Diceros bicornis minor: one gene and its partners. The protein of the gene in region 1 interacts with the protein of each later gene in a pairwise test. Links are inferred from orthologs where the notes say so. Each region holds a gene or a part of one and is shown in the gene's direction. Other genes may lie near its edges.

Evidence for each region.
Region 2: the proteins of RALBP1 (region 1) and REPS1 interact in binary tests that used the Homo sapiens proteins (3 or more experiments, as listed by UniProt). The link is inferred for Diceros bicornis minor from reciprocal best matches to the Homo sapiens genes RALBP1 and REPS1.
Region 3: the proteins of RALBP1 (region 1) and TSFM interact in binary tests that used the Homo sapiens proteins (3 or more experiments, as listed by UniProt). The two-hybrid records come from large-scale screens. The link is inferred for Diceros bicornis minor from reciprocal best matches to the Homo sapiens genes RALBP1 and TSFM.
Region 4: the proteins of RALBP1 (region 1) and GSE1 interact in binary tests that used the Homo sapiens proteins (3 or more experiments, as listed by UniProt). The link is inferred for Diceros bicornis minor from reciprocal best matches to the Homo sapiens genes RALBP1 and GSE1.

The regions. Positions count from the first base shown.
Region 1 is NC_080755.1:7,477,741-7,485,621, forward strand, and holds the start of RALBP1 (ralA-binding protein 1), read left to right. Parts: upstream 1-4,871; 5' UTR 4,872-4,953; intron 4,954-5,200; exon of another isoform or gene 5,201-5,755; intron 5,756-7,881. UniProt on the Homo sapiens protein: Multifunctional protein that functions as a downstream effector of RALA and RALB. As a GTPase-activating protein/GAP can inactivate CDC42 and RAC1 by stimulating their GTPase activity.
Region 2 is NC_080762.1:23,077-30,812, forward strand, and holds the start of REPS1 (ralBP1-associated Eps domain-containing protein 1), read left to right. Parts: upstream 1-4,736; 5' UTR 4,737-4,972; coding exon 4,973-5,125; intron 5,126-7,736. UniProt on the Homo sapiens protein: May coordinate the cellular actions of activated EGF receptors and Ral-GTPases.
Region 3 is NC_080756.1:11,214,079-11,222,029, reverse strand, and holds the start of TSFM (elongation factor Ts, mitochondrial), read left to right. Parts: upstream 1-4,951; 5' UTR 4,952-4,979; coding exon 4,980-5,078; intron 5,079-5,290; coding exon 5,291-5,464; intron 5,465-6,068; coding exon 6,069-6,197; intron 6,198-7,463; coding exon 7,464-7,586; intron 7,587-7,951. Other genes in the region: EEF1AKMT3 (EEF1A lysine methyltransferase 3), read left to right, coding at 2,814-3,205. UniProt on the Homo sapiens protein: Associates with the EF-Tu.GDP complex and induces the exchange of GDP to GTP. It remains bound to the aminoacyl-tRNA.EF-Tu.GTP complex up to the GTP hydrolysis stage on the ribosome.
Region 4 is NC_080771.1:34,077,636-34,084,599, forward strand, and holds the start of GSE1 (genetic suppressor element 1), read left to right. Parts: upstream 1-3,964; 5' UTR 3,965-4,389; coding exon 4,390-5,805; intron 5,806-6,964.

The DNA.
Region 1 (7,881 bases):
AGGATATAGAATCATTCCTTCAGGAGCAAAGGAGAGTCAAGAGTTCTTGTCATAGATTGCAAATAAATGGCCACAAATTCTGTTCAGTGCTTCCCATCTAGTGGAGGAATCTATTTCTCCATCCCTTAAATCTGGGGCTTGGCGTGTGATACGCCTTTGCCCAATGTGACATCAGTAAATGACACACAAACACTTGAAAAGTGCTTGTGCACTAAGGATGCAGGCTAGGCTTTTGAGAGATGAGACCATTAAAGAAAGAAGCTCAGCCATCCCAACTGCCGCAGATGAGCCCAACCCCCACCTAACCCACAAACTGACTACAACTGCATGAACAGCGGAATAGTTTAAAGCCACTAAGTTGTGTGGTGAATTGTCACAAAGAGCAAAGCTAAACTCATACAGTTCTGCCACTTGTTTTTGTAATGAGCTCTAAATATCATATCTTTTAAATATATAAAAATAGGACATTTCAATTATGTAATAGTGCTTTGACCCAGTGAACAGTTTAGGGATCAAACTTCAGGTGCCAGTCCAAAGAATAGAGGCAACAGGCATTGGATCCTTTTACTCTGTTTATCCAAGGGTGGGGTTGTTTTTAGAATATTTTATTCAATTCCCATATCTTTAAAAAAAATAACAGCATTATTGAGATATAATTCACATACCATAAAACCAACCGTTTTAAAGTGTATAACTCATGAAGGATATCAGTCTATACTTCCATTTTCTTGTGGTGTCCTGGGTTTTGGTCCCTGGGTGATATTGGCCTTATAAAATGAATTGGGAAGTGCTCCTTCTCTATTTTCTAAAACAGTGTTATTAATAGGCTTAGTTTTCTTGTCTTCCTTAAAATATTTGATAGAACTCACCAGTGAAGACATTCAGACCTGGGCTCTTTGTGAGAAGATTGGTATTTACCGATTCAAGTTTTTTACTCTGATATATGTCTATTTAAATTTTGTATTTTTTTCTTGAGTTAGTTTTGGTAACTTGCTCTCTCTCTAGGAATGCCTCCATTTTCATCTATTTTTAAAATTATTGGAATTATGATGTTCATAATATTCCTTTTCATTTCTGTAAGGTCTATCGCGTTGTCCCTTTTTTCATTTCTCATTTTGGTAATTTGTGTCTTCTCTTTTTATTAGTCAGTCTAGTTAAAGGTTTATCAATTCAATCTTTTCAGAGAACCAGCTTTTGGGTCCTTTTCTCTATTTTCTTGTTTTTAATTCATTGATTTCTATTTTGATCACTATTTCCTTACTTCTACTTAATTTAGGTTTGATTCACTCCACTTTTGCTACCTTCTTGAAGTGAAAGCTTAGATTATTGTCTTCCTTCTAATATTAGTATTTAATGCTATTAATTTCCCTCTAAGCACAGCTTTAGCGGCTTCCCTTAAATTTGATATGTTGTATTTTTGTTTTCATTCAGTTTCAGATATTGTCTAATTTTCATTGTGATTTCTTCTTTGCCCCATGGATTGTTTAGAAATGCGTTGTTTAATTTCCAAATATTTGGGGATTTCTCAGATTCCTTTCTGTTGTTGATTTCTAATTTAATTCCATTGTGGAAGGAGAACATATTGTATGTTTTCAATATTTTTAAAATTTACAGAGACTTGTTTTGCTGCCTATTGTATGATCTATTCTGGACAATGTTTCATTTGTGCTTGAAAAGAATGTTTATTCTGTTGTTGGATGGAGTTTCCTACATTATGTCAAATATTTCAAGTTGGTTGACAGTGTAATTCAGGTCTTCTACACCCTTGTTGACTTTCTGTCTTGTTCTATCAACTGCTGAGACAGGAATTTGAAATCTCCACCCATAACTGAATTATCAATTTCTCCCTTTAGTTTTCATGATTTTTGTTTTACGTGAGTTAGAATTTCTTTTGTTTTTAAGGCTGAATAATATTTCACTATATGTATATACCACATTTTATTTACCCTTTCATCCATTAGTGGCCACTTGGGTTACTTCCACCTTTTAGCTATTGTGAATAATGCTGCTACAAACATGGATGTACAAATATCTCTTTGAGTGCCTGATTTCAATTCTTTTGGGTATATACTCAGGAGTGGAATTGCTGGATCAAATTGTAATTCTATTTTTAATATTTGGAGGAACGATCATAGTGTCTTCCATAGCAGATGCATCATTTTACAGTCCGTCCAGCCGGTAAAGCCATGGGTTTTTTACCTCTCACCACAAATTGAGTCCATCCTCTCTGGTAGCAAAGCTGCTAGTTTTCTTAGCCAGCCCCACCCACATTGGTAAAACTATAGTTATGGGGCAACAGAGAAGGATTGAAGCCGGCAAGAACATCATGGATATCTACTGTTCCTACTGGAACTTCTAGCAGTTTTTCAAGAATAGATGTTTCTCAAATTGTTGTCTCTGTTTGATTTCCAGTGCCTTGAAACGGTAGTTTTTGACAATTTTGTCCAGTTTTATACTTGTATTGTGTGCAGAGGAATTGTTGACCATGTCACATAGCCATAGCTGAAAGTCTCTTCCATAGTTTCTTTTTAAGTAGGAACTTGTATTAGTTAGGATCTTTCAATGTCATGTAAAAAAATCCAACTGAATTAGTTAGGACTTTTAGAATTTTGAGTCACAGAAAACTCCCAATACAAACTGGCATAAACAATACAGGAAATTTATGGCTCACAATTGTAAACAGTCTATAGGATGGGTCAAACAGGTGAGGTTTGATAGCACAGCTCTAATGATGCCATCAAACACAAGGTTCTCCTTTCCAGAACTCATTTGACAGCATTGACTTCATCTTCAGGCTCTACTGGTGCCTTTCCCCTAAACCCTATCCTTTCAGGCTTTCTCCTTGTAGGAGCCAAAAGATTGCCACATTTCCAGACCTCACATACTTATGCCATACTAGAAGAGTAAGGATGCTGCTGTTTACTAGAAACCCCAACTCAAGTCTCTGTGGGGCTCATTGGTTCTGAATGGGTTCTATGACCATCTCTGAAACTCTCAGCTACCAGAGAGAAGGATTATGCTGCATGGGTTAATGGGAAGAATGAATGCTTAGGAGAGAACCAACAAATATGTTCTATAACCACACAAATTAGCCCTAAATAATAAATAAATAAATGTATTGGCTCACCCAGCTAGGCTCACAGACTCCAAGCACTTATAGAAAAGCTATACAAAACTCAAGGTTTCTGAAACTGAAACCAGTCTTCACGCTGCCATCTCTTGGTTTCTCTCCCTTTCCATTCCCGCCCCACCCGACTACCCCCTTTGGCTTCATTCATTCCTAATGTAGACAGCCCTCTTTATATTGTGAAGAACATGGCAATCAGCAGCTATCTCAGTAAACACCTTTCTTCCCTCCCTGCTCTGTGTCCATATAGCATTTTAAGCAAGGGCTCAATAACGCCCCAACTTGGATCAGTGCCTATCTGTTAGCCCAATTAGTGTTGCCAGAGGCAAAGTGTATTGTAACTGGCACGGGAACACGCCCAGCCCAGTGGTCCGAGGTCACTGTTCTGTTGCCAGAAGGGCAATAAGCAAGCTTATCAAGCAGTCAGAAAACAATGGCTACCACACACCATCTTGGTATCTAATTGTGGCAGGCTCCTGAATGCCAGGCTGAGGGGGCTGAACTTTACTGGGTAGGAAATGCAGAGTACAAGGGAACGGCCTATTGTCAAATGTAAGGAAAGCTGATCTGGGAGGTACAGTGCAGGATGGATCGCAGAGGTCAATCTAAATAGCTAATGAAGTTCTAAAGATAGTATTGCACTAGGAATGGAAGCGATGGGAAGGACCATCTATCCCAAATTGTATTTCCCGTAATAACTGGACAAATTTTATAAAACAAGAACACTTCAAAAGACCCCTGATTTCCAGCCATGCATTAGCAGAACAATTCTTCAAGCCTTTGTGAAGGATTTCTGGAGGAAATCCAGTTATTTCCAGTCTTCCTCGTGATTCAGTTCTATTTGCAAGCTAAACATGCGCCCAGGCAGTTCTAATTCAGGTGTTGCTTTGTAAGTGTTGAGCCAAAGAGGGGATGGAAGACAGCAGTCCCGCCGTACCGCAAGAACCAAAGCGGGCCCTCGTCAACACCCATTTTAGGAATTTTGAGGCTGTCCCAGCACACAGTTTTATACTAGCCCGTACTCAGAGGCCCAAGGCGCTTCCCCTCCCTCCTCAAAGAAGGAATCCCCACCACAAGCAAAAGACTCCCCACCCAGTACTCGGCCAGGAGGATGCCCCACCCAGCAGCAAGCTGGTCCGGCCTCCTAGGCTGGTTTAACTGGTTAGGACGACTGAAACCCGCTGGCACAAAAGGTCTGAACTTCGGCAACTGACGAACAGGCTGGCCCGAGCATGGAAAGGAAAGCTCTTTTCTTTCTCAAGACCACCGCAGGAACCGCCCCCAAACCATCTTCAGCGATATTTCACTCAGGCTAGACCTACGTCCCACCCAGCCCCCCAAGACCAGGAACTGCGCAGGCGCTCGTAAAGCACTGGCGGCGCGTTCTGTGGCGCGCTTCCTCAGTCTCCTCAGAGAGCACTTGGGGCCGAGGGAGGCGCGGTGCCTCCTGGGTATTGTAGTGCACTTTCTGGACAAAGGGCGTTCCCGTAGACTGGCGCTGGGTTTCCGAGAACTACGCCTCCCAGTGTGCTCCGCGCGAGGGCACGGGGCGTTGCCCTTGCGGGCCATGGCCGTCAGCGCCGAGAGGAGGACCCGGGAAGCCGACCGCGGCGGGAGGAGGGAATGCGCGTGCGTGCTGGGCCGGCTCGTTCTGTTCCGTCCCAATCATTGTAAACAGGCGGAGGCTGGGGCGGGGTGGGAATGGGGCGCCCCAGGCCGGTCGGGGGCGCAGCGCAGGAGGCGGCTAGGGTGGCTGCGGCGGCAGCGTGAGCGCGAGGAGGCGGCGGCTGCGGCGGGGGCGGGCGGTCGCGCTGCTGCAGGCACAGGTCGGTGACGGGCTGCGGCGGTGTGCGGGGGTCGCGGGATGCCCCTCGCGTGCCGGGGCAGCCCTCTCCGCGGCCGCGGCTGTCAGGCAGCGTGCGGGGCTGGGAGCTCGCGGCGCGCGGGGCTGGAGTTGGGGTGGGGGGCGTGGCTGCCCCTAGTGCGGGTTCCTGCCGGGCAGCTCTCTCCCCGGTGCTCGCTCTTCTGCCGTCCGTGCCTCCCACTTGCCGGCCGGGTCCCCCTCATGGCATCGCATCTGCGATTCGGTGCTCTCGGGGGCTGGAGGAGGAGGGTCAGGAACCGAGCCCTCCACCCCGAGTCTGCAGGCCTCAGGGCAGCGCTTGGGCGCACCGGAACGGAGGAGAGGGACTCCGTCTTTTATGTAACCGTACTATTTTCCAGTCGCACCCGGAATGTTGACCCGTGTCCAGTGCTTGCCCAGTGGACTAGGAGAAGGCGCTTGATGTTGCCCAGCGCTCGCTGGCGTGGAACAGTGGGGCTCCTTTGGGTGCTGCGATCTTTAGTTCAGGTTTCAGTGCGAATGGACGGACAGATCTGGAGTTGAGAATTCGTTTCACAACTCATTTTCAAGTATACTTGTACCAAAATGCTCTTATTGAGGTCAGGGTTTTTTTGTTTTTTTTGTTTTTTTTTAATCGTTGTAAGGGTAAAACAGGTTTTACAAAATATTCCACACCTCAGTCTTACCTGAAGTCAGGCTGTTTCAAGTTTTGGGATTCATTCCTACAGAGCCTCCCTCTTGAGCAAGCAACATGTTTCCTCTAAGGCCTAGTGGAGTTCTTTAAGGTAATTAAAATGTTAATTCGAGATATTTTGAATGTGCCTGAAAAGAAGTACAGTCGTTTGGACATTGAGTTAACACACCATCTGGCCTCATTGGAAGAGCTTTCCCTGAATGTTTTGTTTAGTGCAGTGGGCATGTTCAATGCTGCAGCACTTTGGGTAGCATTCCATCATACTTGGCAGTTATTCACAAAATATTTAAATGGTGATAAGGGACAGGCCCACTTTTGGTTTGGTGATCACGGAGACAGCACTTCTAATGAATAAATGGGACTCTGGATGAGAAAGATAACCTCACTTTAGCCTTTCAAACTGTCTTGGTGATTTGATAATTCATTTCTGTGTTTCTTCTTGAAAATGAATAATGCCGGTAAGCTGTATTGGCAGTAGTAGGGGTAGGAAGGAAGTTAGTAGAGTGGTTCCCACTTTTCAGAGTGACCCGTACTCCAAGTGGTGTAGGCTAGTTTAACAGTAACTGTTGAGAAGTAATTCTTTAAACAAAGTATCTTGAAGCAATGTGCCATAACCTCATTTGCTATCTTTTGAAGACATTATTTCTCATTTTAGACCTTTCAGGGACCATTTCTCCCCTAATTTAGAAAATAGAAATGGTATTAGAAAATGCATATTAACTTTAATTTGTACAGTTATGTTTGCACAGTTGTTTGCTTTGTAAGGAGAGATTGGGCCCAGAACGTAACCTGAAAGTATGTTTGTTCTTTTTTGAAAGAAAATCCCTGATAGAAGCTTATGTTAGTATTTGTGGAGGGAGTAAGGAAAAATGCAGATCGTTTGGTAGAGAGGAATTACTGTGTTGCAGGTACTGTGCCAGGTGAACAGGACTTAAAGATGCCTTCAGGGTGGTAAGACTTTGTTACTTGAACTGTCAACAACTACAATACGTTTTTAGGATTGCTTTGATTGGAGAAAGTATGGGAGTACAGTGGGTATACAAAGGCAGTAGTGGTCAGTTTCTTGAGGGAAGAGGAGATTGAGGAAAGGGGCAGTGGTAAGGACAAACTATAATAGGACGTGATGAAAACAGTAAGTGTATATAGGAATGGAAGGGATGGGCATTTAGGTAGAAGGAACAGTGTGAGCAAACTTACACTGGCATCTAAACTTACAGAGTGAATTGTAGGATCTGCAAGTGCAGCTCCTGAGGGTATAGGGTGGTGGCAAGACATGAAACTGGGGAGGTAGGCAGAGACCAAATTATGTCTTGTATACAGTCGAAGTAATTTCAGCTTTATCTCGTAAGCAAATAGGAGCCAGTGAGAGAGGATAAAGAAGAGAGACCTGAGCCAGCTCGACCCATTTTTAACTCCCTGTCGTGTGTCAGGTACTATATTAGATTCCTTATACTTTATGTCCTTAAACTTAAAGAAAGCTTAGGCATGACTGAGGCAGAAAGTGGGGGAAAGGCACGTAAGGCAGAGGGAAAGTTGGGCATGATGAGAGAGAGTATGGAACACTTTTAAGAATGGGAAGTTGTTCTCTATAGCCGTAGCGTTGGGGTTATGGTGGTAAGTAGCAGAAGTATTGCATGCCATTCTAAGGGTTTTAGAGGTTTTTTTCTATAGATAATAGAGTTTATGGATTTTAATCAGGAAAGACACATGGTAAGGTTTTCATTTTAGAAAGATCACTCCAGTATTATAGGGTATAGATTACAGAAGGGAAGGAGGGCAGATAACACAGGATGCAGAAAGACTGCTTAGGAAGTTTTTGTAAAAATTGAGGTGAGAGGCAAGGGTCTAAACTAAGGCAGTGTCAGTGGAGATCCAGAGGAGTAAGTTAATAGCACAAATATTTAGAAGGTAGAATTCATAGGATTTAGTAACAATTGGATGTGGGGAGTGAGGGAGAAATGGTAGGATAAGATGACTTGGATATTAACTTGGGTGATTGAATAGACAAAGGAAAGTACACTGAGACTGGGAATTCAGGAAGAGGAGCAAATTTGAGGAGGAACAGTATTTTAGCTTGTGGGTATATTGAGTGGGAGTTATCTGTGGAACATCCGGGTGGAAACATCTACTACAGAGTTGGTGTGGGGTTTGGAGTACAACACAGAGGTCTTGATAGGAGAGTCATCGGCTATATTATAGGGGGTAGCTGAAGCCTTT
Region 2 (7,736 bases), on another chromosome or scaffold:
GGGCCCTCTGGGAAGCCCCTCTCCTTGGGAAATCCCTCCTCTCCTACTTCTTGTTTCCCTCAGAGGCATTGTCTCCCTTCATGTTGCCTTCTTCTCCTGTGGCATTTTCACAATAGACCTTGATAATTTAGAAATTAACTTGTTAATTAAAAACTGAAAATTTAGCACTCCTTGAAAGCAGGGAGAGCTTAACTCCAAATCCTCCATAGCAGTGAGCTATTAAGTTCCTGAGCTAAGGCACCAGCTGGGGCGGCTGGTCGCAGAGGCTGCCTGACATCAACCTGCCAGGTCGTTTTGTACAGTTGGATGTCTTGTGCCTCCTCCATAGTGGACACTTTCTGGTGGGCGTGAACACACGATAGAGATATTAACACCACATGCCCCTTCCCCTAAGTTCAACCACACCATCTCACCCCAGACCTCCTCCTCCCTGATCTTCCGAGCCCCTGTCCTGCCAGCCCAATCACACCACTGTCCGTGTGTTCAATGCACGTTCCTGCCTTGGGCCACCTCTTGTACGTGAAGTGAATGACCAAGTGCACCAGCTGAAACTCTCTCCAGTGGGTTTTGCCTCCCTATTGTCTTTCAGGGCCACCCCTGGGTTGGACTTAAGCCAAATTTTAACAATTCTGTTCTGCAAAGATACTACTAAGTGAATAAAAAGGCAAGCCACAGACTGCAGAAAATACTTACAAATCATGTATCTGGCAAAGGGCTTGTATCAAAAATGTATAAAGAATTTTCAAAACTCAACAATAAAAAAACAAACAGCCCAACAAAAAATGGGAAAAGTTTTAAATAGACACTTCACCATAGAAGATGTTCAGATGGCAAATACATGCATGAAAAGATGCTCAATATAATTTATCATGGAGGAAATGCAAATTAAAATCACAGTGAGGTACACACATTAGAATGGTTCATGAGGATGTAGAGAAACTAAAATGTTATACATTGCTTGTGGGAATGCAAAATGATACAGCCATTTTGGCAGTTTCTTTTAAAGTTAACCATATACTTACTATATGCCCCAACAATGCCATTCCTAGATATTTACCCAAGAAAAAAATGAAGACTTAAATTCACACAAAAACCTATCATTAATAAATAACCTCCCAACCTGGTAGCAACCCAAATGTCCTTCAACTAGTGAATGGATGAGCAAACTCTAATCATCCACACAATAGAATACCATTTAGCAATAAAAAGGTGAACCACTATACAAGCAAGGACATGGAAGCATCTCGAAAGCTTTATGCTATGCAAAAAAATCCAGATTCAAAAGGCTGCATACCACATGATTCCATTTACATGACACCCTGGAAAAGGCAAAAATATAGAAACAGAACACAAATCAGTGGTAGCCAGGGGCCAAGAGTAGAGGGCAGAGTTAGTACAAAGGGGCAGCACAAGGAATTTTGTGGGGAGGTCACAGAACAGTTCTGCATCTCAGTTTTGGTGGTGGTTACGTGACCAAATGCATTTGTCAAAACTTGTAGAACTATATACCAGAAACAATGAATTTTACTGAATTGAATTAATTTTAAAAACTTAATTAAAGATTTCCAGTTAAAAAACAATTGATGTTTGCTGGCAGTAACCAACTATTTGATCTTACCTGAAAACCAGCATCTTTAAATTTTTAGCTATAGAATATAGACCATCTGTTTTAAAATAGCTTTCTCATGATGTCACTTTCTAAAATTTATATGTCTAGAAACATATAGGAGAGAAATTAGACTTGACCTCAAAGGGCCTGTGTGTTAAATCATTTCTTTCCCTTCATACCTGAAAATATAAGTGACAGATATAGAGGAAAATCTCTTTCACTTGTGAAATGTCAGACCCTCCAGCACGAAACCCGCCTGTTATCCAGCTGGGGGCTGGGAAGGTCTCCCCTTCGCTCAGGCCTGACGTTTTTAGCTCCAGCCTTCACAGGGAATGTGTGTTTGTTTGGAGAGGCTCTGGTGTTCAGGACTCTTCTCTCACCCTGGGGAGTGGGTCTGTGGCTTAGGGGAGGGGGCCCGACTTTGTTGTTTGTCTTTAGAACACGTGGTACTGGTGACTTTTTGTCCTCAGCTTGGAAAGCTCCTACTCCGTGCCCTGTTCCTGTACATCAGGAAAGCCTCGCAGAGCAGCAGGACCGCAGGAAGAGGCCCCTCAACGTCCGTGCTGAACACACATACTCGGTGTGGCCAGTTCAGTGTAGCATTTGGCACGGGGTGGGGGGAAGGACAACATATGGAGGAATCCAGGTGCCAGCAGAGCTCCCTCGATATGCTGACAAGGTCCCCAGACTGGATGAGCCCTGAGGAGACGATCATATAACTTGTTTTATACCTGCACAAGATGCTCAAAGTGTGTTTTTGAATACAGGAAATATGTGTTGGGATGGAGAGAGGAGAAATTGAAGGTGACAATGAGCAGCTTATTCAAGGAATGGAGGAGAGACTAAAAGTATAGTGCATTATAGACTGAGAAGCAAATTTCTGAATTCCAGACTTGGAAGTGAAGCAATCCTGTAATTATTCTAGGTTGCTAAAGAGAAACGGAGCTGGAGGTTGCTTGAGTTAAAGGAGCCAAACTGGGAGATTAGGGTATTGACTGGCTGGTGGCACCATTTGTTCATTCATTCATTCAACAAACAATTCTTGATGAGCACTATGTGCCACACACTGAGCCTTGGAGCTACAGCAATGAACAAACATTTTCTGGTAAATCCAGGGATGGTAGCCAGGGGACTTAATAAACAAGAAAGAAAGGCACTGTAAGATCATGATTTTGGAGTTGAGACTGCCTGGGTTTTGAATCCCAGATCCACTTAATAACAATGTGATTTATACATCACTTAACCCATTTGTGCCTCAGTTTCCTCATTTGTCAAATAAAAATACTAACAATGCCTACTTCACAGGGTTGTTGTGATTAATGTGGTAATTACAGATTCAGCGCAGTGCCTGAAACATGGTGAGCACTCAGTAATTGTTAGCTATTAAAAACATAAACAGGTACAAATTTCTAGTTATAAGACAAATAAGTCCTGGGGATGTAATGTACGGCATGGTGACTATAGTTAACAATGCTGCATTGTATATTTGAAAGCTGCTAAGAGAGTAGATCATAAAAGTTCTCATCACAAGAAAAAAATAATTATAACTACGTGTGGTGATGGATGTTAACCAAACATTGTGATCATCATTTTTCACATCTACGTATATCAATTCATTATGTTGTACACTTTAAACTAACACAATGTTGTATGTCAATTCTATCTCAATTTTAAAAGGTAAACAAATACATGTTAATGCCAGGTAGTGAAAAGTGCTATAAAGAAAAATAATTCAGAATGGGATACAGCGTGGTGGTAGGGCTATTTTAGATCAGGTGTTGAGGGATGGTCTCTCTGAGGAGGTGACTTATGAACAGGGACTTGAGAGGTGAGAAAGAACAAGACTGCAGCAGTCTGTGAGAGGACCATCTCAGGTGGCAGAAACAAAGGCCCTGGGGCGGGGAAGAGCTTCACCGCCTAGGAAACGTGGTGGAGAAAAAGATGCTGAGGGCAACTGGGAGCCAATCTCTAGCCCGATGTGCTTGGAAAACAGGCCACCTGTGGGGCTCTGATCACCTCTGGTAGGTGTCCTGGGGGGGGTATGTGAGGGGTCGCTGTGGCAAACTGAAAGCTTTAGAGATGGGGAAACAAGATTAACGGCATGTTATATGTAAAATGCTACTATTCAAGTTAGCAAATACAGCTCCACAGTCCCTCATCTTTTAAAAAAACAAAGCAATACAATGCCTATGACTGTATATATTTACATCCCATTACGGCCTGGAGTAAATGAATAAATATTGACACTAACGGGCACATATAAAGACCACAAATAGCCTCATGAGAGTTTAGTTGAGATTTTGCCTCCAAATGAGGCAGGGCGGGTTTTGTTGCCGGAGTGTTACAAAAACCTTTGGGCTTTCAGTGCTCTCTGAATTTTGGATTTCCACATAAAAGACTGTGACCCTAGAATAATTTCCTCCCAAGGGCCATTTGTAGGGTCAGCGCTCTGGGGAGCAACACGCAGAAGACAGAATAAAAACTCAAACGGAAAAATCTGTATAATTCTGCCTTAGCAGCTGTTTCTGAAACATTTCATATTTGCTAAGTATAAACTCCGGTTCAGAGGTTCTACTTGGGATGCTCCTCTCTCAGGTGCGGACGGAACAGCGCACCTGCAGGATTTTCGCGGGGAGGAAAGGAGGGGCGGCAGGAGCCCCGGGTTCGGCCAGAGGCGGCCCAGGCTCCGAGGGGACGGTACAAAGCTAGACGGTCCTGGCGACCAGGACGAGCTCGGACGAGGAAGAAACCGCGCCAGCTTTCCCTGCAGGCAGCACCTTTTGTTTCTCGGTGAACACGGCTGGGAGCAGGAGAGGCGGTGAGCCTCGGTGTCTCTGTGCTGTCTTCAGAGCACACGGACACACGGCGTCTGCGCTCCGCGGCACCAGACATCAGATGGCTGCAGACGGACGCAGCAGCGCCAACCTGGACGACGCCCCTTCCGCGCGGCGTTCATCACGCGCTCCGCCCGCCCCCGCCCGGCCTCCGCGGGCGCTCAGCCGCCAGGGGGCGCTGCGCCGGCCCGGGAGCGGCGCTCTCTCCCGCGCCGCCGCGGCCTCACATCCGGGTCTAGGGCCGCTGTCAGCCGGCGCGCGGCGGCCGGCGGGCGCGTCAATGGCGGCGGCGGGAGGCGGAGCGGCGGCGGCGCGCGGCCCCGAGCCCCCGAGCCTGTAGCCCCGAGCCACCAGCTTTCCGGGAGGCGCTGCGCCCCGGTGCGGACGGAGGGGAAGGGCGGGAGCCGGGAGGCTCGAACCCGCGGCGCCGGGAGCCCGCCCTCCGCGCCGCGCCCCCCGCCCCCGACCGCCGAGCGGGCTGCGGGCCTCCGGCGGCGGCCTCCCGGGCCTGCGCGGCCGCGGCCTCACCATGGAGGGCCTGACGCTGAGCGACGCGGAGCAGAAGTACTACGCGGACCTCTTCTCCTACTGCGACATCGACAGCACCAAGAAGGTGGCGGCCAACGGGCGCGTGCTGGAGCTGTTCCGGGCCGCGCAGCTGCCGCACGACGTGGTGCTCCAGGTGCGGCCGGGGGCCGGGGGGCCGGTCCAGGTGCGGGCGAAGGGTGGGGAGAGCAGGTCCAGGTGCGGCCGGGGGTCGGGGTGCCGGTCCAGGTGCGGCCAGGAGGCAAGGGAACAGTCTAGGTGCGGGCGACCGGTGGGCGGAGCAGGTCCAGGTGCGGCCGGGAGGCGGGGGGCCGGTCCAGGTGCGGGCGAGGGGTAGGGGGAGCAGGTCCAGGTGCGGCCGGGGGACGGGGGGCCGGTTCGGGTGCGGGCGAGGGGTGGGGGGAGCAGGTCCAGGTGCGGCCGGGGGGCGGTGCCGGTCCAGGTGCGGGCGAGGGGTGGGGGGAGCAGGTCCAGGTTGCGGCCGGGAGGCGGGGGGCCAGTCCCCGGGCTCCGCGCGGGGAACGCAGGTGCCGGGCGGCCGGGTCGCGCCGAGCCGCGATCAGAGGGTCTCTCTCGCGGGACAAAAGTCTTGAGTGAAAATGGGGATCCTGTCTCTCTCGGCTGCCCTCCGAGTCTCTTCTTCAGCACGGGGAGAGCCACTTCAGATGGAGGATCTGGAGTTGTTACCGTATTTTTGGGTCCTAGGTCCTGGTACTACATACATAGCTCTTCGAATCCTGCAGGGTAGTGAGGTTATCAGTATAGGTAAATGTTTTTAAGGCTTGAGTTAACCGAGTAGACGCCGTAAAGTGGGTTTTATAGATTTAGGAATCGTAGAAGCAGTTTTTTTAAGGAAGCTAAATTTTAGAGAGATTAAAAAATTTGAATTTCTAGCTAGTAGTTTGCAAGTAGATATGAAAAGAACTTGTAATTAACTGTGGAAGGTGTGGCTGATGTAAACTGGACAGTTTTTCGATTGGCGTTCGATAACATTGGGTGGAACCTGTGGATTTGGGCTGGGAGATAAGTAACGAATAGCTGGAAGTCAAACGTGCACCTTCGCCTGGGTCTGTAGCACTAGAGGAGCAAGCAGAGTAAGTTGTAAGCTTTTTGTGTCACATCGGTTTTTAAAATAGAAGGCTTCCTAGAAGTTCTTATCTAATATATGTGGTGAGCGTTAATGTGACTGTTTAATGTTAATGCTAGTAAGAGTCGGTCTAAACAGCGTATCAGGAACAGGTTTGAAGCGTTCATCTTTGTTACTATCCAAACCTCCAAAACTTAAAACCATATGCACAGGTATGATGTAGTGCACTGCAGAGAGCGCTGAATCAGGAGTTTTGATCCCACTCTGTGGTTAACTAGTGTGACTTTAAGCTAGGCACATAAGTGTGCTTGCTCATCCTTAGAATGAGAGTCAAGTTCCTTCTAACAAAAGTTGTGTGAAGCACAAAAATATCCGCCCAGGTCTCTGTCTTAAAAGTTACCTGTGCATTAACTCTAAGTCAAATGAGTTCCACCTTTCGCATAATCTCATGTTTGGTATTGCTTGTTTAAAATCTTGGGAGGAAAAGTTGGATGTCTTACAAACCAACAGCTAGGAGTCTCAAATTCATGCTGCTGAAAAGGGACAGAGAGTAAATGTTTTAGGCTTTGCTGGCCACGTACAGTCTCTGTTGACAGTTCTTTGTTTTTACAACACTTTAAAAATTTAAAAACCATTTTTAGCTCAGGGGCATACAAAAGAGGGCCTGTAGTTTGCTGACCCCTGCTAAAGAACGGTGGTGGCAGTATGGGGGTGCTACACTCTCCTCATATGGCTTTGGAGTCAGACTCGCAGAAAGAGGTCTGGTCAGAACATGCTCATTAATGATACTGCTCTTTCTGTAGAAATAACAAAACATACCTTCAAGTCATTTAGGAACTAAAATTAAGGAGAAACTTTCATGTTCTATTTTGGTTTATGTCTTTGGGGTGGGGGGGAGCTGAAATAAACTGACTTTCCTATTTTTAATGGTGCACGAAGACTTTAGGACTTTAAATGTATTATTTAGGAATAGACAAATTAGCATTACTTAACCTTTGCTTGAAATTTGTTTACTCGAACCCAAGTTATTTTTATGTTTTGCTCAACTTTATTGACATTCAAAAATAAATTTCTATGGCTTTTTTGTATAAAGAGAGAGCTTAAATAGCATAAATATTCAGGATTCAGTTACAAGGTGGAAGCTGTAGGAACTCCCTGAAGCAGAACTCTTACAGTAATTAATATATACTAAATAGCATTCTGGGTATCCTGAAGGCAATTTACTTAAAAATTGGCCTAAGACATAGAATATGAGACAAAAGGGGAATATGGACTTAGTTATCTTAAGGAAGTTTGAGATTGTCTGAAAACATAGCCCTTTTGCTTTCTAAGTGGGAAACATTTGGGGCAACTCATACATAATGTTTACTTAGCACTGGGCTACTATGAAGGACTTGGTGATCTGCAGGAATGCAGGTGTGTAACATAAAGCAGAACAGGAATGCCCTAAGAGAGGCACACAGGAGGAATGATCAGGAAAGGCTTCTTAATTCAGATGGACTTTCAGTTAGTGTGGGGGGAGGGCAGTGGAATGAAGAGGACTTCTAGGCAGAGAAAAAATGTGACCAAAGGTGGAAAGGGTAGGTGCCTTTTCAAGGACTAGCAGAAGGTCAAGTTTTGCTGAAGCTGGAGTATGTTTTGGGGATAATGGAACATAGGG
Region 3 (7,951 bases), on another chromosome or scaffold:
TTAAATTTGTGTCACTACCTCAGGTGTGCCCTTAAGCGCGCTGCCTAGCAAGCCTATTACCCTCCCCTCCTCCACTCATTCTTCCGCCCTCCTAAACGTGTGTCTTACCCTCTTGCCCTTCAAACCTCCAGCTGCCAGCCCACCTATCTTCACCCTCAGCTGATGACTTTGTTTCCTGTCTCTTTCTGTCTCTTCTCTTTTCTCACAGAAAATGTCCACATGTTCCCATCACAGCGTCTGCTCACCTAACTGTCTGTATGAGCTGCCTTCTCTCCTGTTACCATGGGTGAACATGCCATGTCCTAGCTAAGGTCAAGCCCTCCACTTGTCACGAGACCCCGAACCTTCTCACCTCTTAGAGATGTTGTTCCAGCAAACGACCCCCCACCAAGTCTCTCCTGTGTTATCAGTTTTTTCTTTTCTCTGGATCATTCCACATATATATGTATGTGTGTATATATAATATATATGTATAAATAAGCATATAATTATGCTATAATTTCTCCTGTCTCAGAAGAAACTCTTGATCTACATATTCCTCCAGTTACCACCCCATTTCTCTGCTCTGCTTTACAACAAAACTCAAAAGAGTTAATACTCACTGTCTGTAGTTCCTCTCTTCCTATTCTTTCCTCAATCCATTCCAGACCCCCACCTCCACCGCCTGCCGTGGCCCCTCCACGCCATTGCTCTAGTCAAGGTTGTGAGCCTCGTCTCCAGCTCCATGTTAAGTTCAGGGGTCAGTTATAAGCCCACCTAAATTGACTTGGCAGCATGTGACACTCCCTCCTCCTCGAAACACTTCCTTTGGTTTCCAGGGCACCACTTCTGCTTTCTGCCCAGCTCATTGGCTCTCTTTCCCATTCTCCTTTGTAAGTTCCTTTTCATCTTCACAACTGAGAATCTGAGTGCCCCAGGGCTCTTCCCTTTTCTGTCTACACTCACTCCCAAGCAGTCCATCACCTCCTGGCTTTAAATGCCCTTTAAGTGCATAGGCTGATGACTCGGTAGCTCTCCCATTTCTCTCTCCAGACTTGTTTGGGTAGCCTCTTGCCTACTCCATATCTTCACGCGATTGTCCGATGAACATCTCACAGGTAAAGTGTCCAGAAACGAACTCATGATCTTCCTGTTCAATCCTGCTCCTGCAGCCTTCTTCATCTAAATGAATGGCAATCTGGTCTTCCAGGTGGTCAGGCCAAACATCTTGGAGCCATCCTCGACTTCTTTCTCTTTCTAATAGTTTATATCCCATCTGTCAGCAAATCACATTGACTCTGCCTTCAAAATTAATCAAGATCCGAACACTTCTTAGACATTGCTTCTGCCCTGGTTCAGACCACCATCATCTCTCGCCTGGGTCACTGCAGCCGCCTCCTAACTGATCTCCTTGCTTCTGACCTTGCCCTTCTGCAGTCTTTTCTCGTCACAGCAGCCAGAGTGATCCTTTTAGAGCATAAGTCAGTTTATGCCATTCTTCCATTTAAAATTCTCCAATAGCTTCCCATCCCAGACTAAAAGCTGGTTTTCTCACAGTCTCCTTACAAGGCCCTGGTTAGGATCTGGCCCCTACTTTATCCCCCTCACTTCCTCTGCTGCAGCCATTGGCCTTCCTGCTGTTCCTCAGACCTGCCAGGCACACTCCTGCCTCAGGATCTTTGCACTTGCTAGTCCCTCATTTGGTACATTTTAGCCTGAGAGATCCACGTGGTTTGCTCCATCACTTCCTTCAGGTCTTTGTCCAAACATCATCTGCTCAGTGAGGTTTTCCCTAACCGCCCAGTTTAAAATTACATTCCCTGCCCCGCCCTTCAGGCACTTCTTATCCTTCCCTGCTTAACCGTTCACCATAGCACTTATTACCATCTGATGTACAGTGTATTTTATTTGTTTGGGGTTTTTTGTCCATTTCTTGCCACTAGACTGTAAGCCCCATGAGTAGAGGGATTCCTGTCTGTCTGGTTCACTGCCGTATTCTCCGCACCTGGCATATAGGCACATAACAAATATGAATGAATGAATGAATTCTTAGTACTTCCTGTGTCTATGATGGTCGTCGTGACTATGATTAAATCGTTTTGCAGTACCTAGTGTGTCTCTACCTCTATAATAAAACTCAAGGAAGGCCGAGGCTTTGTCTTGCTCACCACTGTACTCCTAGAACTTGGTAGGTGCTCAATACATATATTTATTGCATGAATGAAGCTTTCTAAGTGCTCATCTGATCATCTTCACCCTCTGCTTCTACCCTTACTATTGCCCTCACGATCAAGCCTGAATCTCCTTAGCATGTCATAATGATCTTCCTCTTTACTCTCATGTCGTGACACTTTTCTCCTCCCTTCCACATCCTCTAAGATCCAGCCTTCCTCAAATACACCATGCTCTCACCACCAGGCCTTTGTACTCTGTTCTCTATTTGGAAAGCTCCACCTGACTAACTCGTACTTGTCCTTAAGGCTGAGCCGAGGTCATGTCTCCTGGGAAGCTTTCCAGACCTGTGAAGGCTGGTCTGTGTCAGTAGGGGGTGGGGGCACAGCCCACCTCCAGCTCAGTCCTGCCCAGGCTTCTGCTGACATATGATTGTTGTGTGTTGGGCCGAGAGGTTGAAAATTAGCTCAGAGAGAATGTTGATGTTGTAGAATGTAGAGTAATGAGAACGGTGGTGGGGGAGATGGAGGTTAGGGTGACTAAAAGCCAGACTGTGGGCTTCGGGCTGTCAAGACATTGTCCTCTAGGCCCTGAGGTCTCTGGAGCCGAGACCCCGTGGCTGGTCCCTCTGACTTGCATTTTTCCTCCTTCCTCTCTCTCAGGGGGGGATGTTACCATCACTGACCTGCCCCTGGTCCTAGAGCAGATCCAGGCCAACGTCCAGGCCAATGTGCCGACTGGAGGCCGGGCCCAGGTCCGCGCCTTGTCCTGGGGGATTGACCAGCATGTCTTCCCTGGAGACTATGACCTGGTGCTGGGGGCTGATATCGTGTACCTGGAGCCCACCTTTCCACTGCTGCTGGGCACCCTCCAACACCTGTGCGGGCCCCAGGGCACCATCTATCTGGCCTCCAAGATGAGAGAGGAGCACAGGACGGAGAGCTTCTTTCAGCACCTCCTGCCCCAGCATTTCCACCTGGAGCTGGCCCAGCGGGATGAGGATGAGAATGTCAACATCTATAGGGCCAGACACAGGGAACCAAGACCTGCTTGACGTCACCCTTCTGCTCCTCTGAGCCCCTGTCCTAAGGAAGAAACTGCCATATCTTCAAAGCCATAAACAGGATCAAAAGTATGGATTTCCCTTGCCTCTCTCTTTCCTCCTTCCCTCTCTGTTTCCCCAGATATTCTTAGGGAGGCGCCTGCTTGCTAAGAATCCTAGAGCCCTCACAGCACTGGGGTAGAGCACAAAGGAAGTTCCCAGCTCCTGTTCTCAGAGGAGGAAGACAGGAGGGTATCCAGGATTTTTAGGGGTAGGGGAGGCAAATGGATGTGAGAGCAGTGGCTGCAGAGACTGTCAGTGATCCCTTCCAGTCCTGCTGTTGTCTTTTTATACAGAATGGATTTTTTTTTTTACCAGATTCTAATGGAATTTTTTTAAAGGGAAAGAAATGAGCATTAAAGATCTTTCCTGCATCCAAAGAACTCAGACTTTTGCTGTGGGGTGGGAAGAAGAAACCTCAGACCACCCACTTCTTGCTTCTTGAGATAGAGTCTGCTGGGACCATGGCTTTAACTGGGTCACGTCCTCCCAGCCCTGAACTGGGGATCGGCAGCAGAGCTCTCCTTTGGACTGTAGCTTCTCCACTCTTTTCAGAGTTGAAGCCCTAATCACTAAGTACTGGGTTCTCCTCCTCTTTGATTTTTCTTTAGGTTTCCAAGCCCTGTCAGTCCTTCCTTCTTAGTGTTTTTTGCCCTCCCCTCTTTTCCCTTCCCACTGTGGTTCCTGTGGTTGGGGCTGTCTTTACGTACTCCTTGGGCCACATATCACCTTCCTCTGGCCTCCTGGCCTCCATTCTCTCCCTTCAAGCCACACTGCAAACTCTTGTGATCTTCCAGAATCAGCTGTGATTAGGTTCTGCTGCCTACAGAAGAAAGACGCTCCTCTGGTTGGTCTCAGTCTCTCCCATGTGACCCAGATTACCCTTGACTTCATTGCCTGCTGGTGTCTACATGTGTTGCAACCTCTGGCCAAATTACAGAAGGTCTACTCTCTGTTCCCTAATCTGTACCAAGATCCTCTGACTTCTTCCTTCCTTCCTTCTTTTTGATGATTCCCTGCCTGGAAGGGCTGTTTCTCCCTGTCAGAATCTTCATTACTCTCAGCCTCTTTCCTGGAAAGAGCTTTTCCTGAGCCTCCTGTTTGGATGTGATTTCCTTCTCCCTTGAGACCTTTTAACTATTTGTTCATCTTATGGGACTTACCTCGTCTTGTGTGTCATTTGTTGGCTCCCTATTTTCTCACCATTAGATTACCCTGGAGGGTAGGGCTGTGGTTTACTCCTCCCTGAGCCCCTGAAGGCTAGTACAGTTCCTGGCACGCAGCTGACGGGCAACAAATATTTTGCTCATTCAGCAAATATTTACTGGGTTTGTGGAAGGGACTCCACCCCTACCTCCTCAGGCCTCCTTAGCCAAATTTCTGAACCGCCCCCCTCCCACCTCACAAGTTTGTCATGAGTCATAAATGGATGATGAATATGAAAGGGCATTGGAAATAAAGAAGCATAAAATGTTACCACATGTCTTGGACTGTTATTTTGTGACAACTTTGTCGCATGGTTGGCGTTATTTTACCTATGGGGGTAATTCCTTGTGACACGTAGTCTCAATAAGCCAAGTAGGGGAGGTGAGTGTGCCCCTCCGGCCAGCAGGTGGCGCCACGCTCGTCTGGCGCGTCCGGGGAAGAGGTTTGGCCCCGCCGCCACGCCGTCGGCCTGTGACGTCACCGGGGCGCCGGCCGGCTGCGGTGTACAGCGGCCAAGGAGATGTCGCTGCTGCGAGCGCTGAGCGTCTGCCTCGTCGTGCGGCCCCGGCGCTGCCCGGGGAGGGGTCTTCGTCCCGGCACCGACCTGCCTTTCTTGCAGGTCTCCTGGGCCCCTGGGACGCACGCTTCCCTTCCTCCAACCCCCGTTCGACTCCATCCCTCCCTTGCCCCGACTTCATTGCCTCTGCGCGGTCCAGCCCCCTTCCTTGAGCTCCTGGCTCTTCTAAGGTCGCCCACCTGCCCGCGTGCTCTCCACCCCTGGGGCTTTTCGCAGCTGCCTGCTTCTCATCCCTGTCTTCTTACCCCTTCCAGGCGGAGCCCCTTTTGCTTCGGTCGCCCCAGCCATGGCACTCATTTCACGCCGGGTCCTGGCTGTCATCCTCGGCCTCCAGCAAGGAGCTGCTCATGAAGCTGCGGCGAAAAACGGGCTACTCCTTTGTAAACTGCAAGAAAGCTCTGGAGACTTGTGGCGGAGATCTCAAACAGGTTGGGGTGGTGGGGAGCAGGGCCGGTACTAGGGCCCGACCTCAGTCTCTTAGGGAGGTAGCTGGGGAGCATAGAAGTCAGACCTGCTGCCGAATGACCCATAACGGCAGAGCCCTAGATAGGATTCGGACATAAGTGACAACCTCACCCTTTGAGTCTGTCTTATTTGGAAGCAGTTGACTCAAGTTCCCAGGATTCATAAACCCTATTTCATGCAAGACTGCTGGGCTGTTTCCTGGTGCTTGGAGCTGAAAGGGCTTGTATTAGTTTTGGAGTCAGATGGATCAGGACTCAAATCATGGTGCCCTCACACTAACCCTATGACCTTGGATAACATTACTTAATCTTTCAGAGTTGCATTGTTCTTGTCTATATGATGAAAATACTACTATCTGCCCCATAGAGTTGTTGTGAAGATTAAGCTTATCCAAAGCAGCAGGCACAGTGTTTGGTGTTTGGCTTTAGTGGTAGGCTGCCAGTAAATGATAGATTACTTTAGTTTCTGTTATAGGATTGAGGGGAAGCAGGAAGAATTAGGGAATCTGAACATATTTTAGAGCCCCATTCAGTTTTAAATTCTGCCGTTTTTCTTTTCAATTTCTAGGCAGAGAGCTGGCTCCATAAGCAGGCCCAGAAGGAGGGCTGGAGCAAAGCTGCCAAGCTCCATGGGAGAAAGACTAAAGAAGGGCTGATTGGGCTGCTGCAGGAAGGAAACACGTCGGTGTTAGTAGAGGTGAGTTGTCAGAATTCCTGATACCAAGAGCAGCTGTCCCTTGGGTGCAAGGCTTTGTGGTAGAGCCTTTGCATTCTTAAGAGGTGTTTGAGAACCATAAAAGGCAGTTGGGGGGCCGGCCCGGTTGCGCAGTGGTTAAGTGAACGTGCTCCCCTTCGGCGGCCCGGGGTTCGCAGGTTCGGATCCTGGGTGCGCACCGATGCACCGCTTGTCAAGCCATGCTGTGGCAGCATCCCATATAAAGTAGAGGAAGATGGGCACGGATGTTAGCCCAGGGCCAATCTTTCTCAGCAAAAAGAGGAGGATTGGCATCGAATGTTAGCTCAGAGCTAGTTTTCCTCACCAAAAAAAAAAAAAAAAAAGGCAGTTGGAATGAAACCCATGTGACCACAGTTATTAGCTGTGGATTCATTTAGGTATAGAAATGCACAGGTGTGTTGATGAGAAAAGGTCTAGCAGTCTAGAATATTACTCCTAAATGTGAGTCTAGTGTAGCCATACACCTTATCATTGATTGTTTCCTGGAACAGTCAGTTTTTTGTTTTTTGTTTTTTTTTTTGTGAGGAGGACTAGCCCTGAGCTAACATCTGATGCCAGTCTTCCCCCTTTTTTTTTCTTGAGGAAGGTTGGCCCTGAGCGAACACCCGTGCCCATCTTCCTCTACTTTATATGAGACGCCGCCACAACATGGCTTGACAAGCGGTGCATCAGTGTGTGCCCAGGATCCGAACCTGCGAACCCCGGGCCACTGAAGCGGAGCGCGTGCGCTTAACCGCTTGCGCCACCAGGCTGGCCCCGGAACAGTCAGATTTTAAAGCTAGGAATTATATTAATTAGTTGATAGATAGCTGGTAGCTGTTTTAGAGGGGTTAGGGACCACAATTGGTAACGACTCAGATGTGGATTCGTTTAGAGTGAGAGAAGGAGATAAGCTGACAGCAAAAGTGGTTTGGGGTTGGAGGTGATTTTGGCGTGCAGCTGCAGGCAAGTGGTGAACCGATAGTGAGTCCCTTGGAGACGTTGTGGAAACATCTTCTGAATGTGCGGGTCATTGCCAACTCACTGGCAGAGCAGGAATCACTTCACTCAGTTTCTGGCCTCAAGCTACAAGAGGAACTGCAGCTAAAAAATTCTAGAGTCAATTATTTCTGTTTTGTTGAGTCTGTAGCTTGTTCTATCAATACCTTGGTTTATTCTCCAACTTGAAGGCACTTTTGGAAACTATCAGTAAACAGCTTATACAGCAACATCAATTTCTTCCCACAGGTAAACTGTGAGACAGATTTTGTTTCCAGAAATTTAAGATTTCAGCAGTTGGTCCAGCAAGTAGCCCTTGGAACCATGTTGCATTGTCAGAGCCTAAAGGATCAACTCTCTACGTACAGTAAAGTGAGTTTTGGGGTTGTCTCCAGCATGCTGGATTTGTCGTCCCATCCATGGTCATCGTGTGTCCTGTCCCGTCCCCTCCCCACCCCCCAGCTTTTCCCTTTTTCAGACGTTCTTATGTCTCCCTCCCTTACTTCATGTCTCTACTTAAATGTGATCTCTTTGGAGAGGGATACCTTTCCTCCTGTTGCTCTATCCTCTTATTTTGCTTCATTTAAAAATTTTTGTTATAATGCTTATGTGTTACATTTTTATGTATTTATATATTATCTGTTTTCCCCAATAGAATATAAGCTTCATGAGGCAGGAAATTTGTCTTTTCACTACTGTGTCTCTGGTGAAAGAAAAGTGGGCCCAGCACTTGGTTG
Region 4 (6,964 bases), on another chromosome or scaffold:
GGTTCCTGTGTGCAACTAACATTCAGCCGACGTGCACAAACACTGCTGTCATTTCTGTGTCCAGAGGGTGTGCTTCACCTGGGTCGTCTCAGTTCATCCTCCCCAGCTCTATGGGGTTTTGTGAGTCCTGTTTTACAGATGGGAAACTGAGGCTCAGAGAGGTTAAATAGCAGGCCAAGGCCACACAGCTAGTAACTGGCAGAACTGTGATGTGAATCTGCACCAGCGGCCCCATTCCTATGTCATCCACCCACAGATAACCAACCATCTTCCCCTGTCTTCCTCCTCCTCTGGTCGGTGCTCACCTGCTTCCTGGCTCCCGAGAAGTGTGCCAGGGGACTTTCCTGAGTCACCGGGTCATTGAGGGAAACAAAACATCCAGCTGGAAGCCTCTCTCCCCCGGGTCCCAGCCCACTTTATATGCACACACGTGAACACATGTACACATGTGCACATGAATGCATGCACACAGGTACACAACCGGCACACGCACACACACGTACACGGTAACAGATGCATACACACATGCACACACAAACACGAATATCTACACACACCCACACATGCACACACACACCTCCACACACGTGGCACATACTCAGGGAATCCTCAAGGATGACCCCAGCTTAAGCAAGAGAACTCCACTCCCCCCTTTTGTCCTGTCGACCGCTGTGGCTCTCCTCCTTTAGACTCTGGTGGGACCTCATCACAGTGCCCGCCTCCACTCGCAGTGCAGACAGGCATAGCAGAACCTCCTCAGCCACTGGACAGAGCCAGGCAGGGTCTACACACACACACACACACACACACACACACACACACACTGTCACCTCCAGCGTGCCAGGCCCTGTGCCCAGAGCATCGCCCTCTCTCTGCCTCATTTGATGCACACAAACAAATCCGATGAGGACCATGACCCCATTGTACAGAGCAGGAACCTGAAGCTCAGGGAACTAAGAGGTTTGCCCAAGGCGCCCACAGCTAGAGAGGGACGGCACAGCACTGGGACCCAGCAGTGTGGGACCCAGGGACTAAGCCAGGCCCTGGATACACACAGTGAGCAAGATAGACCTGGGTCCTGCCCAGGGGGAGGGAGCACCCAGGCTCCTGGGGAGGCAGACAGGGAACAGTCGACAGAAAAATAAATAAAAGCAATGACAAATTCCTATGCCAATGAACAGAGACAGAGAATAACAAGGAGAACCTGCTTGAGATGGAGAAGGCAGGGAATCCTCTGGGGGAAGACATTGTAGCCAAGACCATAAAGATGAGCCAGAGTTGGCTTCACAAAGAGAGCCTGGAAAGGCACGTGAAGCAGAAGGAACGGCATGTGCCAAGCCTCAAGGGAGCCCCACGCAACCCCAAGGCCGCCCTGCATTTCCTGAGCCGGCTTCACGTTAGCAGCCGCCTCGTGGTCTGTGTGGGCTTGATAGCTCTGCTGGACACAGTTACCCAGACCTCACCCTGTAAAGGCTCCCTAATCAGCCCCTCTCTCACCAGGTATTAAAAATGCCAGAAGCAGGGAAACCCCCTCGCCCTGCCCCCAACATTCCTTCCAGATAGTTTTGCTGACACAGCTTTTTTCTGGGCCTGGGTGAGGGCCCGCAGTCCCCGAGTTTCTGGTGATGATGGTGATGACTTTGCTGTTAACCCCTGGACTGTGACCCCTGGAATTCCACCAGGGGTTCCAGAGAGGTGGCCCCTTTCTCTTGTTCCGTTTATTTATAATGACGGCCCTCCTCCGGGCCAGAGGAAGCCTAGTTTTATTTATACATCAATGCCCCAGAGGGTAGAGGGGCCCACCTGGCACCTTTGTCCCCAGGCTGACTCTGGGCTCCAGCTGGCAAGTCGGGACAGCTGTCAACTGCTCAGAAATCACAGACTCATAGAAGTTTGAAGCTGGGAGGGGTGGCATTTCACAGATGGGAAATGTGAGGCCCAGAGATGCCTGGATTCCCCCAAGGCCTCCCAGCCTGAGCCAGAGCAGCAGGAAGGACGGAGGGATCCTGGCCATGTCCCCTGCCCTGGAGAGTCTCCATGGGCAGATGGAGTGACGGGGGCCAGATGTTTGCGTAGTGAGGCTGCACAGCCAGGGGGTTGAGAGCAGGCGCCTAGAGCTGGCTGCCTGGGTCTGAATCCTAGCTCCTCCACTCTCGAAAAGTAACAACCCTCAGCACCTCCTCTTCCTCATCTGTGAAATGGGCTGATCACAGCGCTTAACCCCGAGTATATATAAAGTGCTTAGAATAGCACCTGGCACATGCTAAGGTCTCTCTCTGTGTTCAATAAATACAGCGTATGTATACACATAAACAATAAATATGTGGAAACTGTTAATCTCCTGCCAGAACTCCTGTTTAACAAGAGGAGGAAAGGGCCCAGAGTCGTCGAGTCACTTGCCCTGGAACACAGAGCCTGGCACACACAGGATCCCTTCCGTCTCTGCCAGCAGCCAGGAGGGGTGTGGAGGCTGAGGCCTCTGCCCCCCCGGATGGTGCATTCACCAATGTGTTCCAGGAGACGGGGGACAGCTCCTCTTCCCTCTGTCTCCAAAATCAGACCACTGGACCCTGAAAAGTGCCCCCAACCCAAGGCAGCTCAGGGCTGCAACTGCTCCTCATTCGGTCCCCCCTTTAGAAGGGGGAGGGGGCCGGAGCAACTCGACCGAAATCGACAGGGTGCCTGCCTACTCCTGGACCGAGGCCGCCCCTCGGAGAGCTCCTCGCCGGCTCCTCTGTCTCCGGGGGGCGCCGGCCACGTCCTTACCTGGCTCCTCCCGCGTCCTGCTTGCCCTTTACTTAAAGAGCAGCTCTAGCCGCTGATGGGTTCCGCGGGTCCCCGAGGAGACCCTTCAGACGGCTCGAGCCGGCCGCGCTGGAGAGAGGCCCTAATTGGGGCAATGAATCATCGAGCGCGGCTCCCGGCTGGACACAAAATAGATAGAAGAGCCGGCGAGCCATTGTGCGCAGTTTGGGACGCGGGGGGAGGGGGGAGGAGGAGGGGGGGAGGAGGAGGGGGGAAGGAGGAGGGGGGAGGAGGAGGGGGGGAGGAGGAGGGGGGGAGGAGGAGGAGGGCGGGCGGCGAGCAGGGCGCGCGAGGGAGGGATTCCCCCGCCCGCGTGCTCCCGCCTCCCGCCCCGTCTCCTCCCCCTCCTCCCGCGCGCCGCCCGCGCCCCGCCTCCCTCCTCCCCAATTAAATGACCCAACGCTTTGGCAGGCGCCGGAGCTCGCACATGCGGCCGCCGCTCCAGCCGCCCGGGGCCCGCCGCCGCCGCTGCGTTCCGGGCGCGCTCGCCGCGGCGCCGCCGGGGGCTCGGCAGGCCGGGGGGGCGCCCCTGCTAGCGACCGTGCGCCCGCGCCCGCGCCGGCCGGCCGCCGCCAAACTTTGCGGCGCGCACACATGCTCCAAGTTGGGCGCGGCGGCGGCGGCGGCGGCGCGGGCGGGCGGTGAGGGCGGCCCGGGGCGCGCGGGCGGCGCGGCGCGGCCATGAGCGGGCGGCCGGCGCTGGTCTCCCGCAAGCAGCGGCTCATGGCAGCCGTGGGCGAGCGGGCGGCGGGCGGCGGCGGCGCGCCGCTCTCCTGCTTCATCTGCGGCGGCGGCATCGGGCGCGGCAAGGAGCTGAAGCTGCAGGTGAAGCAGCCGGCGGCGGCGGCGGCGGGCGCAGGGGCCCCGGCGCAGCCCTTCTTCCCGTTCCTGCAGCAGCAGGAGCCGGCGCCCGGCGCGCGCGAGCTGTCCCCGGCCGACGGCTGCGTGCTGGTGTGCGCCGTGTGCCGCTGCTTCCTGGGCGAGCAGTGGGCGGCCTTCGAGCGCGCCCGCACGCCCGTGGACAAGCGCATGTACTGGCTCAAGCGGCCCCACCAGTGCGACGCGGGCGCGGGCGGGCGCCGCGGGGGCGCAGGGGCCCCCCGCGAGTGGAACGTCGCCTACGCGCTGGGCGGCGCGGCCGGCGACGACGACGACGGTGGCGGCGTCCCCGGGCCCCGCGCGGCCGCCGAGGAGACTCGAGACTCCGAGCTGTCCGAGCTATCGGACACCGACCCCCTCTCGGAGCCCGACCCGACCGCGCGTGACGCCGCCAGTCCCCACCAGGGCGGGGCGCCGGCGGCGCGGGCCACCCCGGGGCCGGGGCCTCTCGGGGGCCGCTGCCAGGAGTGGAGGCCGGCGCCGGTACCCCCTCCGGGACAGGGCGCGGAGACCCCCGCGCAGGGGGACGCGGAGGAGGAGGGGGTCCCCTCGAAGCTACACGTGGACGGGGAGCCCAAGACCGGCATTCGGCGCCGGCGGAAGGGCGCTGGGAGGCACTGGGTCCCTGAGGCCCGAGCCAGCGTCCTGAGGGGCATCCAGGACCCTTGGCAAGACCCTCCAGTCCGGGTGGCCCCTGCAGATAGCATGAAAGGAGCCCCGTCGGGCAGGGCCGCCAAGACTCCCGAGGGCAGGCCCCTGGGGGAGCCCCGAGGAGGCTGCTGCGTGTCTGATGACAGTGACATCAACGTCACGAGCGAGGAAGAGGACGGCAGGGAGCAGCCTCTCCCGGGCTCCTGCGGCCCCAAAGAGACGGAGAACGGTGGTGGCCGCGTCCCCCGGGCTCCCCTGGAGGGCCGGCCTGCACCACCAGAGGGCCTTTGCTGCTACATCTGCGGGTCGACGCTGTCCCCAGCCTCGCAGCACCAGATCCACGTGCAGAAGCAGGAGAGGCTGGCCCAGGCCCCCTTCTTCCCCTTCCTGTGGCTGCACAGCCCGCCCCCCGGGGCGCAGCCCATCAGCGAGGGTGGCAGCACCCTGGTGTGCTCATGCTGCTTCTCCTCCCTCATGCAGCAGTGGCAGAGCTTCGAGCTGGCCCGCGTGCCTGTCCTGCAGCGACTGTACGTGGTGCCCCTGAACAGCCACGCCCCCGGCATGGCCTCCAAGGGCAGGAGGCTCCCGAGGGAAGAGGGCCTGCCGGCTGGGGCCCTGCCAGAGGCCTGCTACCTCTGCGGGGAGGACTGTACCCAGGATGCCCGGGCAGTGGCCTCCAGGATCCTCAACGGCAACGCCAGGGGCTCCATGCATTTCCCCTTCCTCAGCCTCCTGCCCTGCCCCCCCAACGCCCGGGGCCCCAACAAGCGCTGCGAGGTGCGCAGCTGCCCCAAGTGCTTCAGCGTCCTGGAGGATGTCTGGGCCCTGTACCGGGCCTGCCAGAACGAGGAGCTCATTACCTCGGTGCAAGGCTTCCTGGGCCGGTACCACCAGGCCTTCTCCGCCTGGGACCCTGCCGTCTCCGAGCCACCCGCGTCGGTCCAGGGCGGCCCGGCGTCCGTCTGCTACATCTGCGGGGCTGAGCTGGGCCCCGGGAGGGAGTTCCAGCTCAACGTGAACCCCTCCAGCCGCTTGGGCGAGAAGGAGCCCTTCTTCCCCTTCCTCACTGTTTACCCGCCCGCCCCGCGCGCTAGGCCTGCCGACTCCACCGGCCTGGTGTCCACCTGTGTGCTCTGCTACCACGACCTGCTGGGCCAGTGGCTGCAGCACGAGGCCCGCGGTGCCCACCACACCATCAGCGCCTGGTCTCGGCAGTACCAGGTGGAGACGTTTGTGTGCTTCTTCTGCCAGCAGGAGAAGAAGCGATGTCTTGGGCTGAAGGCCGTGCGGGTTGCCCGGCTACCCTTGTTTCTCTACACCCTGCGAGCCAGCCACAGCCTGCTGGTGGACGACGGGCGGCAGCTGATCATTGGCGCCTGCGTGGAGTGCGGGACCCTGGTGTGTGCTGGCCAAGGACTTACCCGCCAGGGACCCATGGGCTGGAGCTCCCCAGTGGCAGCGGCTATGAAGGTAAGCAGCAGTTCTCATCTCCTGCTCTGAAATCTGCACAGGGAAGGAAGAGACGTTGTTTTCTGTTCCTCTGCTGGGGAGGAGTTTGCACTGATTCTGAGCCGTGCGTTCCAGCAGGAGGTGCCCCCCCTGGTCTGGCACTTGGTGGGTATGTTGGCCTGGCTGAACTTGGAGGCATGTGCCAGCTCTGAGGAGTTGGGGGGCCAGGAGCGGTCTTGTGGAAGAATAGGGCGGTCCTGTGAGCAGTAGGCATGGGCCTGAACTTGAGGGTGTTTGCAGCAGAATCTGTCAAACGGAGGAAGTTCGGGGCATGTCTGTCATCCGCCTGATAACATTGGTAATTAGTCCAGCCACACAGGTCACGGAGAGGTCTCGGCACTTACCCGGTTTGAGGTGGAAGTTCCTCTCTACTCTAGCTCCTGCGTGGCTTAGCTTTTCCAGAGTTTTCCACCCAAGTTCACACTTTTCCTTTGAGACGCTGTGGTTGCTTAACAGCAGATGGAAACAGATTTCCAGACGTGGGGGTTTGGGCCCCGGGGGATAGTGGCCCGAACAGACTTTTCCCCCGGTGGGAAATGTCTTTCTTCTCTGCAAGTCAGCTGTGCCGGAGGAGGGCAGGGGGGCCTGGGTTCGCCCTCTTTGTAAGGCGCCTGCCTGCAGGCCGCCTGCCAGGGAGGAGCCAGACCCGGCTCGGTTAATTTTGGATCCAGATTTGCCAAGGCCAAAGCAGGAACTTCCCCCCGGTGGGTGTGGGGAAGTAAACGTCCGTGCGTTGTGATCCCCCAAAGCCGGTTAGACCGACTTGTTTTAACAGATACCCGGAGTGGTAGCCGCTGGTGAGGGGCCGGCAGAGGGACGGCGAATGGGGAAGGGTGTCTCCGGCCTGTTCGGGAATGGTCGTTCCATCCGTTTGAAAGCTCCCTGGTGCCGCCTCCCGTGTGTACATGCGTGTGCACGTGTGTGGGGATTCCCGGGCTGCGTGTTCGCTCACAGTGGTTGTGCCTGTAAAGTGGACCCTGCCACGATTTGCCCGCCTCCCCTCGTGTCCAGCCCTCACCTCCACGCGCTACCCGGGCTCCTTCTCTGCCCACGTCCTCTTTGGACTTTAGGCTGTTGTGGGGGCTTTGGTGGGACGGCCTCTCCTTTTACATGGACGAAC